2 linked regions of the Caenorhabditis elegans genome follow. The protein of the gene in region 2 interacts with the protein of the main gene of each other region in a pairwise test. Each region holds a gene or a part of one and is shown on either strand. Other genes may lie near its edges.

The links.
Region 1: the proteins of pal-1 (region 2) and let-756 interact in a two-hybrid assay, tested with the Caenorhabditis elegans proteins (one study listed by BioGRID).

Annotation. Positions count from the first base shown.
Region 1 is NC_003281.10:6,405,262-6,410,570, forward strand, and holds let-756 (Protein let-756), read left to right. Parts: upstream 1-1,867; 5' UTR 1,868-1,875; coding exon 1,876-1,965; intron 1,966-2,233; coding exon 2,234-2,305; intron 2,306-2,354; coding exon 2,355-2,401; intron 2,402-2,607; coding exon 2,608-3,004; intron 3,005-3,307; coding exon 3,308-3,373; intron 3,374-3,417; coding exon 3,418-3,524; intron 3,525-3,575; coding exon 3,576-3,704; intron 3,705-3,961; coding exon 3,962-4,331; 3' UTR 4,332-4,772; downstream 4,773-5,309. Other genes in the region: C05D11.5 (Putative hydroxypyruvate isomerase), read right to left, coding at 4,840-5,018, 5,110-5,179, 5,265-5,309. UniProt on the Caenorhabditis elegans protein: Required for larval development. Probably by binding receptor egl-15, negatively regulates membrane protrusion from body wall muscles during larval development.
Region 2 is NC_003281.10:4,804,177-4,810,683, forward strand, and holds pal-1 (Homeobox protein pal-1), read right to left. Parts: upstream 4,534-6,507; 5' UTR 4,533-4,533; coding exon 4,402-4,532; intron 3,926-4,401; coding exon 3,850-3,925; intron 3,796-3,849; coding exon 3,508-3,795; intron 3,184-3,507; exon of another isoform or gene 3,035-3,183; intron 2,973-3,034; coding exon 2,870-2,972; intron 2,696-2,869; coding exon 2,524-2,695; intron 1,078-2,523; coding exon 1,035-1,077; 3' UTR 533-1,034; downstream 1-532. Other genes in the region: rRNA N(6)-adenosine-methyltransferase metl-5, read left to right, coding at 62-168, 219-346, 397-510; C38D4.7 (C2H2-type domain-containing protein), read right to left, coding at 5,946-6,092, 6,137-6,191, 6,238-6,507. UniProt on the Caenorhabditis elegans protein: Transcriptional activator. Interacts with promoter regions for tbx-8.9, tbx-9, elt-1, hnd-1, scrt-1, and vab-7 genes. Binds the sequence ATTTATGAC. Binds to the enhancer region of the hlh-1 gene promoter during embryonic body wall muscle development.

The DNA.
Region 1 (5,309 bases), 1.6 Mb from region 2:
GAGAGCAGTTTCTTCGTGTTTCACTTGAAGATCAGTCGTTTTGTGATAATGATGATGATGATAAAACATAGAGGACGGGAGCTCTTTTGAATAAGAAGAAGAAGCCAACTGTCTCGTTGATAATCTGTCGTCTCTTCATTCACCATTATCATCTTCTCAGACGGACTAAGACGCGCGGGATTCGGACTACGAGAGTGAGAGAGAAAGAGTCTTTGTATCCTCATTGATTATCAATTATTATCTCACACGTTTCATCCTCGATTTCTTTCTTTTTCCTACATCAACTATTACTCATATTTTTCTTGATCTTTCTTCTGTCATATGATTTTTCGGGTACTATAGGATTTTAGTTTTCAAGTTTTCACACTCAGACATTTAAATATATTTCTAGATTCTCATAAATGGGTCTTGCCACGACTGTTCCGTATACCTATTCATGAAATACCGTATTCGGTTTATGCTTTTTTTCAATTAAGCATTTTTTAACATGTTTTCATTTTTCTAACAGTAAGACAATATAAATTTACTTCATTCCAGTATTCCAAAAAAACACTTATTTTTTTCCAAACTTACTTTTGTCAAACTAATCATCTACTTTTCACATATCCATCTCCACATACGTGAAAATGTGAATAATTCTTAACTTACCATGGAATTCGTAATTTCATGTTTGCTATAAATTTGAACCATATTATTATGTGTTATTTCTGCTCATTTTTTATCGAACGTCATTCTTAGTTCCTCAGAATAGTATCGCTTTCTACTATTTTTCCAAATGCATCATACTTTATTAGCTCAAATTTCATTCATTTTCGGAAGAGTATTGTTTGCGGGGGATGTTTTTTATTTACAAATATGACACTATTCTGGGAATCTCTACAAATTGGCATTTTTCCAAAATGGTATTTTTCTGTTATAGCCTAGAGATCCTACACATTTTGATGCTCTTTTCATTTATTTTGATCTATTTTTCCTCCTTTTTTGAAGTTTTTTTTTGTGTTTTTATTTTGAACAAATGTTATGAACAACTGTGTAAATATGATCTCAAAACTTTGTCGTCACTTGTGAAAATTTGTGATGATTCAATCGGTTCAAATCACTTTGCCAAAACTACATATGTTTTCTCGGAAAAAAAAACCGTTGTTGAAATTTTCCACAGATACACAAAAACTCCTAAATGCAGAGCCTACACCTGCCTCTTACCTACTCTAAAATCTGTTGAGTGAACCATAAGACATTTAAAGTTGAGCAACAACTTTTTTGGGAAAAATAAACATTTTGGAAATTTGCAAGCAAAATATGTGGCTTTTCACAAAAACTAGATTACAAAAAATACTTTCATATTTCTCAAAATTCTTAATCACTTTCTTATAAAAAATTTGTAATGTTATAAATTTTTGAACTTGTTGTATGATTATCGGATTTTAAATTAGTAGTATACTACTTTTTTCCAAATATAAAGATAGAATATTAATAATCTTCTTTCTTTTTAAAGTTTTTATTCAAAGATACTTCTAATGCCCCCGAACAAACTCTAAACTCTATTTTGCATCTTATTGAACTTGGTCATTGTGATCTGTTTCTATTTATCTGTTTTCTCAATAGACTCTCTTTCATTGTTGCATTCCTTCATTCCAATCTTACCGTTCTATTTGTTTTTTTTTCATCACAATTTTCCATTTTGCAAGAAAGCCTGAGCCTTCTCCCAACTGAGCCTGAGTGCAAACTCGTGCCAGAAAAGGAGTGGAGGCGGAGGTGAAGATTGTTTGCTCCCGAATCTCTGTACTTGCCCTTTTTCTCATTTATTGACTCTTACTTCCTCGTTCTTCAATATTTCCAAATCATTACAATTTCTTCAAATGTTCAGATGAATATATGGCCGTTCCTGCCGCCTCATCGATAGTTTCATACGGAGGAGCAGCCACTTCTAACTTTTTGACAACACCAGTTACACCTTTTCTTGCGGTAAGTTTACTTCTTTTAACCATAAATGTTTAATTTTTTAATTTTTTTTTGAATTAAGAACGTTTGGAAGTTCAAGCTATATGTACTCAAAATGTGAAAAAACCAAAAATTGAAATATTCATACAGTAACTTAAGAATCTGACACCTCTATGTTTTTTGGAAAAAATTATAGCACACTAGAAAATCTAGGATAATGTTTTTTTCTCCCACAAATTGATTACTTTTTCAAAGTTAAGATATGAACTGAAACTTAGAAATAAATTTTCAGGGATTCTATAATTCAAATTTTGTAACCGATCGTATAAATTCATGTGCTCCGTATCGAGTGGACCGGATCAGAGTGAGTTTGAAATTAGAGATACAGTTGTAAACTTGAAAATGGTTTCCAGAAACAACTACAAGATGAAGAAGAAAATGGGTATCCACCTGCTGATGAGTGAGTTTTTAAGCTTTTCAAACTTTTTGTAACAAGGGATCTCGGATTTTTTACTCAATTCTTGAAATTTGTTTTCTTTCACAGGGCAACGACAATTTATCAAAAACAACAAAAAACATTTTTTTAATCGAAGTGATCATGATCAAAAATTAAAACTTGCCAATGATTTCAAAGGCATTGCGTTTTTGACTAATTTCTACTTCCAGCCGTCGCCGCGGAGCCCTGTTTTGTCGTTCGGGAACCTGGTTGGAGATGCTTCCTATCGAAAATCCTGACGATGGATCGACACGTGTCAAAGTTCATGGAACAAAAGAGGAGAGTTCCAAATTCAGTATAGTGGAGTTTGTGTCAGTGGCAATGAGTCTTGTATCGATTCGAGGAGTTGAAACAAAGAATTTCATTTGTATGGATCCATCGGGGAAATTATATGCAACACCATCATCTAATTATTCAACAGAATGCGTTTTTCTCGAAGAAATGATGGAAAATTATTACAATTTATATGCGTCTTGTGCTTATGGTGACAGGTTTAATCCCTGGTATATTGAATTACGACGGAGTGGAAAACCAAGGAGAGGTCCTAATTCAAAAAAACGTCGGAAAGTAAGTGAAATATATACTCATTCTGCTTTGACAGCTCGTATCGGAGATATTATTACATTTTAGAAAAATAATTTTTAAAACCCGATTAAAGTATATTTTCGAGCATATGTTCGCAAGAAAATGTGGTTTTTACCAAAAATTAGAAGCTCGAGGTCTGGAACGAGCGAATATTTCCTGATATGTACATTAACTTTTCTCTCGTTTCAATAAGTTCCTACCGTACTCGCGGCTACTGTAGCTAGATACATAAAGAAATCCGTGTGCACTTTTTTTTGATTGAAATACATTATCCGTATATTTCAGGCGAGCCATTTTCTAGTTGTTCATCACGATCTTGACCGGTTACGAAGTCCCGTTCCAAATGGAAATGTGAGTTTTTTCGAGACATACAGTTTCAACTTTTTGATTTTCAGGACGTAACCGATCTGGTAGTTGCTTCACTCTTTCACCAACCTCCCAGTCATCCATTATTCCGACAGCAGACCGTTACAAAACCACCAAATCCACATCGTATTTCAAAGTAAGCATTTATATCAAAAGTATCAGATTAGAGCTAATGAAATTTTTGTAGTTTACGAGCAAAAGTGGAAATGACGAACCAAGCTGAGAAGCAAAGATTATTAGAAGAAAAGAAAAGACGAAGAGAAAAGAAGAAACGAAGGAGAGAAGATCGATTAAGAAAAGAGGAACAAATTAGAGAGTTAGTTATTATTCTGAGAAAAAGAAAGCGCAGAGAACTGAGAATTATTATGAAAGTATTGAAAAATAGCAGAACATTTTTTTGGTTTTTAAGATTTGAAGCCAGACTGAAATGGCTTTTTTTGGGTATCGTTCCGTTTCAGTTTTTGAGCGGCAAAAATAAATTCAATGCCAGGTAGCACAAAACTATTTGAAACATTTATGATGATTCCACGTGTGACTTTCCTAGATCTATACCAATTATCAAACGTATTTCAGAGCCCGTCGCCAAGAGCTCAAAAGTCTTCGTGAAGAAGAACTCCGACGTCGTTATCAACAACAACAGCAGCAACAAGCATCTACTCAAACTCGGTACAATCGTCCTCAAAATCCAGCGAATCCTTATCCAACGTATCGACCTCTTCCAACAAGATCAACAGTACAATCTCCACGACCTGCATACAATCCATATTGGCAGTCTCCAGTGACACAGGCTCCTCATCACAATTCCCATCACCATCATCATCACCATCCACGTGTCAGCTCTTCATCAGACCCTCAACAACGTCATCAATCACAACAACACTATCTAGCTCAGACAGTGTCAAATCCAAACCGTCAGAATGTTAACTATCAACGATACCCGTGAACGATCTCTCTTCTTATGATACCCCGCACAGCATCTATCATCATGATCTTCTCATTTTCTTTCCATTTCTTCCTGCCTTCTTTTGCTTAATTAATTTTTTATCAGGGCTGATTTTGAGAAGAAGCGCAGTACATTGTCGTGAAGTTCGTAAGGCACGGTGCTTTAGAAATGAAACCCTTTCTTGTGAATATTGAAACACACAACGAATTTTCTAATTTTCTATTTCTACCTTCATAATATTTCTGTATTAGACTCTTAAAATCACACCATGCTCTAAATACGACAATTTGCGTACACTACTGTTTTTCTTCCCAAGCTCGCCCCTTTTAAGTATGTTTTCCAAGTCTCTCTAAAACACCCCCAACTCGCCACGTGTCTCATTCCATACTCACGGGTTTTGTATTTTGAACATACTGTAACTTACTATTATGAATAATATATATTTGAAAAATATGTATTGTTATTTTAAAAAAATTATCAATGGAGCGAATTTACAAAGACAGGTAATTCAAAAACTTAGAGACATGTTCTCAATCCAATTGAATGAAGGCTTTGCATCCAAATATTCAGCACCAATAACCCATGATGGATTGATCGAACGGATTTCATCGAAAATAAAATGATAATCGATTTCTCCGCGTGTATCACATGCACCTCTATTTGGAACTTGAGCCACTTGAATATAGCCTGAAAAACTCGAAAAAAATCGACGAATGAAAAAGTAATTTCAGAAAAATAGGGCGTAAGCTTATTTTCATCATCATCCTTTTCAACTAACCAATATAATCTTTGAGCTTTCTCATAATTGCTCCAATTTGTCCGTTGATTTGTTGAGCGTGGAATGTGTCCTGAAAAATTACAGTTACTTTTCGAATTCTTATTTTCAAAAAAAATTGTGCATAAAATTCGATGTTTTATGTTCTATTGACTTACATATTGAATTTTCAAATTATTCGATTGATCCATTTGGATCACATC
Region 2 (6,507 bases):
TTTTCGGCTAAAAATCGTATTTGGGTAATAATAAAAAATTAAAAACTTTCAATTCTTCCAGATGCGAGCTTCTACAAGCCGACATTCTCGACCCGGAATCCGATCTTCCACGTGGCACATTCGACGTGGCTGTCATTAATCCTCCATTTGGAACAAAAAATAATGCAGGTAAATATCCAACGATCTCCTAAAACGTTACAATATCTTAAATTTCTCAGGAATCGATATGCAATTTGTCCAAATCGGTCTTCAAATGGTTCGGCCTGGTGGAAGTGTATTTTCACTTCATAAATCATCAACTAGAGATTATATTCTAAAAAATGCAAAGAAATGGGACGGAGTTGGGGTTTGTTTTTAAATTATTCTAAAATTAGAAAAAAAAATATTGAGTTTCAGGCAGAATGTTGTGCAGAAATGCGGTGGCAACTACCAGCGACTTACAAATTCCATAAACAAAAGGCCGTGGATATTGCCGTCGATTTAATACATTTCAAAAAACTGGATAGTTAATCTCATCAATTTCTGCTGTAAATTCTTCAAAATTGTTTCATTGTTTTGTTATAAAAAATATGCAATCAAGATATGTGAGAAAAGCAAAGAATTCTCTAAACTTTTCCAAAAAATAGAAAACATGTTCAAAATGGATCCGTTCAGAGTGGGAAGTAAATACATAACAAATGGGGACCTAAACTTTTTCCTAAACCTTGAGAAGGGTAAGAAACAAGAAATCACAATAAATAAAGAAGCTCTATATTAGGGAATAATTCATTAGAGAATGATTGGATTAGTTTACAAAGCAGAAGGAATGATCGGAAAGTTATAAATATATATATATATATGTTAAGGGCAGTGATGATTAGAATATTCTGATGTGAGAGAATGGGAGATGGGACAGGAAGAAATTATATAAAAGTGTGAATTTAACCGTATTCAAGCGAGAGAAATGTAAAAATATAATAAATGTGTACAATATTCTAGAAAAATATGAAAATTCCCAGAATTTTTGTACATTTTCTTTGTAAGTAGATGAGTACTTATAGCCGAATCTTCTGTTTGTCACGACGATCCTTTGCACGCCTGCAATTAAAAATATTACAGTATTATTACGGAAATTAACAATTTATCAGAATATATTGAGATCAAAAAGATGCCGTCCCAGTGGTGAATTCAAAAAAAATACGCTTTTCAAAGAAAAGGGATAGGGAACATCAATCTTTTGGTTTATATTCCCTTTCTTTTAATGAATACAATGACCGGTATGGTTCGTCCGTATGTTACCTCTTCCCAGGAAAACGGCGGTCACGTCTGTCCAACACAGTATGTATGTCTGTTTGGATTGGGACGCTACAGGAAAGGGACACACACATTGATTTCCATTTTACAGCACTCTGGGAATCTCTGCCGACGACGTTTCTATTCCCCTCGTAAATCTTTCGATGCGCACTAATATTGTCAAACAAGGCAACAGACAACAAAAAAAACGACTGTTGAGCAGATAATTGGTATATCTCTGCGAGCTGGTCAGAAACCCTTGCTTTATCATTTCTGTAGACTCTTTCATTGAGCTAGAACCTCACCTAATTAAATAAAGGCAAAAACTTGAAATTTGGGGCATTTTGAGTATATTTTTTTGCAAACCTACAAACGATACTCTCCCTTTAACATGCGAGTGAAGGAGATTAACAGTAGCACTTTACGGGAAGTGTTTTATCCCAATAACTTGGAAATTCGCACTAGATATCCTATTCCCTTGTTAATTTCCAAATCCCCGAACGCGTAGATAGCCACACATGCAAGCAGTGACCACCTCTCTTCTACAGTAATACCAATTAGAAAGTCGTAAACGGACCAATTAACAAACTTCATCTCTTCCTCACCTCCACCAGCACGTCTCAAACACTGTGGCCTCCAATTACACAACTTTACGACTCTTTAATTCCTTGGAACTATCTCTACTGCGCGCGTGGACTGAACTGAATCTTAAAGAACGAAAGTGTGGTGGTACTTTTTCCTATGGTTACAGTAGGAGGTGACAGTCATTGTGATGAGTCCCCTGGAAAAGCCTGAGAAAGAGTAAGCAAACAGCAAACAGCAAACAACGTATTTGGCTCGAAAGGGCGCGGAATGAATGAATTCAAATGAGATTTGCAGAGGGCAACATCATCTGTTAATTAAATGACGTTGTGAAATATGTGTCAATATTTGAAGTCTAATCTCATGATTCCAATAAACCAAATTAAACTTTCAGATCTATTAATATGACATCTCACACCATAACAATCCCAATTTGCCACCTCTCATCATATAAATTGAGGTCACTCTAACACTCTTTCACGGCTAAAGACTCTCCTGCTACCTGCCACACGGGTCGAATTGCGTAAGCACCGTAACTCATACACCGCATCACCTTTACCGCCTTTCATCTCTGTGCCAAATCAAGAAAACTTGATATTATTTTGGTGTCTTCAAATTTGTAGTAATCAATCATCCCATTTTAGGCAGTGAGTTTAAAAAAGAATCTACCTATTTTGAAACCAAATCTTGATTTGTCGTTCTGTCAAGCTTAACATCGTCGACAATTGGGACTTGCGATCTGATGTTATGAATGGCGATGTATGGAATTCTTTTTCCAGTTCAAGGCGTTGATAATCCGAGTAAACCATACGGTATTTGTCAGCTGTTCGTACACGGACATCTGAAAATAAGTTTAATTACAAACTCCCTCGTAATAAAATGGGAAATTGATGGGAAAGGAATCATAAATACTCAATTCATTTGTCCTAGTTACTGATAAATATGACTGATAGCGGCTTCTTTTTCACTTGAAGAGAGATTGTTTGCACACGGGGAGACTCTTTTGAAAACTTACTATTCGTTCCAGGTCCCGTTGGTAATGTTTTCCCATCACTGCTTGATCTTCGATCCTTTCCATGATTGTTTCCAAGAGGCATTTTCCACGAGAATCCCTGAAACTTAAATTATCTTTAAAACAAGCTCACTTGGAGGAGAACTAACAGATCAAAAATTGGCTGCTTTATTAGACTTATTAGACATTATTAGAGATATTTATTAGACAAGTTACCACAAACGACAGAATTTCCTAATTTTATGGCAGCTTAAAATATCGAAAAGAGCCAAAAATGCTGAAATCTAAAATTTTATCAACTTATCCTTGTCTAGTAGCTGAAATACAGTTTTTAGTAAGTTTTCATTTTTCATTGCATATTTTGGTAATTTATCTCGTGTTAATTCGTTGATTTAGGCGCGTTCTAAGCCGATAGGCACTGAATTTTTGTAATTTTTGGAAGTAGACTGCTTAAATCAATGAATAAACGCGAGTAGCCGTACCTAAAATATGCAATAAAAAATAAAATTCAATAAAAACTGTACCAACAATTTAGAGTCATAAAAAATGTGAACAGTTTTTGAAAAGTCTCGCTAGGAAATTATGTTTTTTGGTGTTATAAAAGCCAACAAAGGTATTAAAATACAATTTTATATGATTACCTGTTGATAATCCATAAACGGCCAAACAGATTGCTGATAACACGTGGCAGCTCTCATCTGGTAGTTGGCTGCAGCAGCAGCAGCTGCTGAAAGCTCTGAAGAAGATGCAGCTCCAGATGATGTTGATGGGAACGGTGTCATCATATCACTCGGTGATGGATACATTCCACTATCACTACTGCTACTTCCATTCGAAAGCGGTGGCTTCACATCAACGGCTTCTACTGCTGGAATTTGTCCGTTGGCAGCGAGTTGTGGAAGGCCGAATGGATAGAGATCCGGATGTCCCTGGAAATTCAATTTTTAAATAAAAAACCTTAAGGAAATTCATTCAAAACGTACGTAAAAACCAGTATCACCCATTTGTGACCACCTTCCATAGATTTGTGGATCAAATGTTGGTTGCAGCATCTTTTCTCTGAAAAAAGAAAATTAAGTATAAAATGAAAAAAAAAAACAAGAAAAACTTCAAAATATAGCACCTCCTTAATCAAATGTTCTTGTCAATTGATACACACACACACGCCTATTACCTCTTAGACACCCTCCCGCTTCATTCCAACGGTGGAAATGGGCGGAGCAATGTCTTCCAATACACTGTGGAGGCGGGGCGTTACCGTACCCTCCGGATAGATCGAAAATTTGCATATAACCTTTCAAACAAATTCTATCATCAAAAAGGCGACAATATTTGAGAATAAATACATGGTTAGCAAATATTTTGAAGGAGATAAATAAGAGAAAGGGCATGGATTTACAACCATGTGTGTGTGCTGGATTATTAAATATTTATGGTATTTAATTTTGTTCACTTGGTCGTAATGAAACACCAACAGGAAATATTTAATTTTTCGTTGATTTTGAGATTCCAAATAAAAATTTCGAAGATCTAGCCTCAGAGGATGTGGTTGCATGAATGGCATCATTGGATAGTGAGGCCACGTGACATCTGCTGGAACTGTTGTTGGTGAAGGTGTTGATGAGGACTCGTTTTCCGAAAAATCCGACTTGACATCGACCGACATTCTGAAAACGAGGAAGTAATTATCAGTTTATATAGAGAAAAGTGAACAGTAATAAAAATTCAAAATTTGAAGGAAGATTTTCGAGATTTGATGAGAATAGCAATAAAATAACGAGCTGGCAACCCGGCACCGCCTCCTGCGGCTCATTGAGCACTTGGGAAGGCGGGATTTATCAGATATGAACGGGAGAGGGAATTGTGAATGATTTATAGCCACACGTCGATTTTCAGACAAACATATCACTTTTACAATGAGACAGGTCGGCAAGGAAACAAAAACGCCCAGTTCGTTGGGAAATAAATTATTGGTCTGTGCAGGAAACTGTCCGAGACTGTATTCGAAGATGGATTTTCTTACTTTAATAAAATATGCGTTTTTAGAATTGATTTTTAGCATTGAAATTAGCAAGACAAATATAAAAGAAACGTTAAAACTCAACAGAAATGAAGAACAGAAAAAAATTAACACTGAAAAATTTTTACTGACTGATCAGCTCAATAGAGCGCACTTTCCACTTGTCGATTTACGAAGATTTTTATTTAATTTATTGTTCAATAGTTAACTTGCTGTTAAATATCTTTTTATTTAAATAAATATTTTAAAAATTATAAAATTTTGAAAAAGATTAGAAAAAATCATCTAGCCAAAAATTAAGAAAAGAAGAATTTTAGCCACTAAATTTAATTTCAATGAGATCCCGCCTTTAAAATAATTTGAAAAATAGATCACTCACCTCATATTTGATCTACTCGCCCAAATAATAGTAAGTCTACCGGCCATTGAGCCCATCTGGAATTGAGGTTCCATTACGATGTTCATTAGGAAATAAATGAGCGATGAAAGTTTAATTGAGTACGATACGAATGAGCATTTATGACTGACAGGTTCATGTGGAGCAAAGATTACGGTAGCAGAGAATTATTTCTCTTATCAGAAACGAGTGATCTATTAAATAGTTATTCTAAAAGTTGGAGATTCTTAACAAAAAATGTTGCTGAAATCGACAATTTGTCCTCCAAAGATTTGATATAAAAGGCAACAATGAGACCGCCCTTTGACTGATTATGTACCTTCTTTCAGAACATTAAACATTTACGATCTGGGAACTCTGCAGCTGTCATGAAGAACAACAAATGGAGCATCTGAAAATATCAAAGAGTCGCTTACTACTCGATTTCATGCACTATCAAGTTTGACCTGAATATGACCCGGCTGTCTGTTGCGTAATCGTTTTGCTCTTTGTGCATCTATGATACCGCCGTGAGAAGAGCCGCGTCTCGTATTTATTGCCACCCACTGTTGGGAATAGTTAGATAGCTGGTAGGAGAAACAAGATTTATTTACTATAAAATTTATTTGTATCAAAAAAGCTTAAATTTTAAAACAAAAACGAATATAAATTAAAAAAGAAATTTAACACGAGGTCTGCTTTATTCGCAGTGACCTTCTCGCCCCAAGTTCGCCGGCGTGGTTGTTTGAAAAGTGATCCACGAGCTGCTCCTTCGTCTGGGAAACTTCATTGCAGGTCCTGCATCGGAAGCTCTTGAATTTTTCAAGATCCTGAAAAACAACTTCAACTAATTTTTTATAATTTTCAGGCTTACCTTATCGTACTGAGATCCTTTCCCCACCAGCACTGCACCGATGAACACATTATCTCTGAAACTCTCATTTAAATTGAAAAAAAAAACACAACTAGAATTACCTTTCAGCAGATCGTCCATGGTTTCTGTTTTCCTCATCTCGAATCTTTTTCAACTCCTTTGCAGCATCAACAGGTGCTCCGGTCCGCTTGGCTAAATTGGATTGACGAACAACGGCAGACTTGACTCTTTTCGCTGGTTTGAGGGAGCTGGACGATGGATTCTTTTGACCAACCACATCATATGACGAAGCGTGGCTCCTATCGACACGTTCCACGAGAGAATGGACAAGTGCCATCATCTTATCCATATTTTGCTGGCTCCGCTCGTCG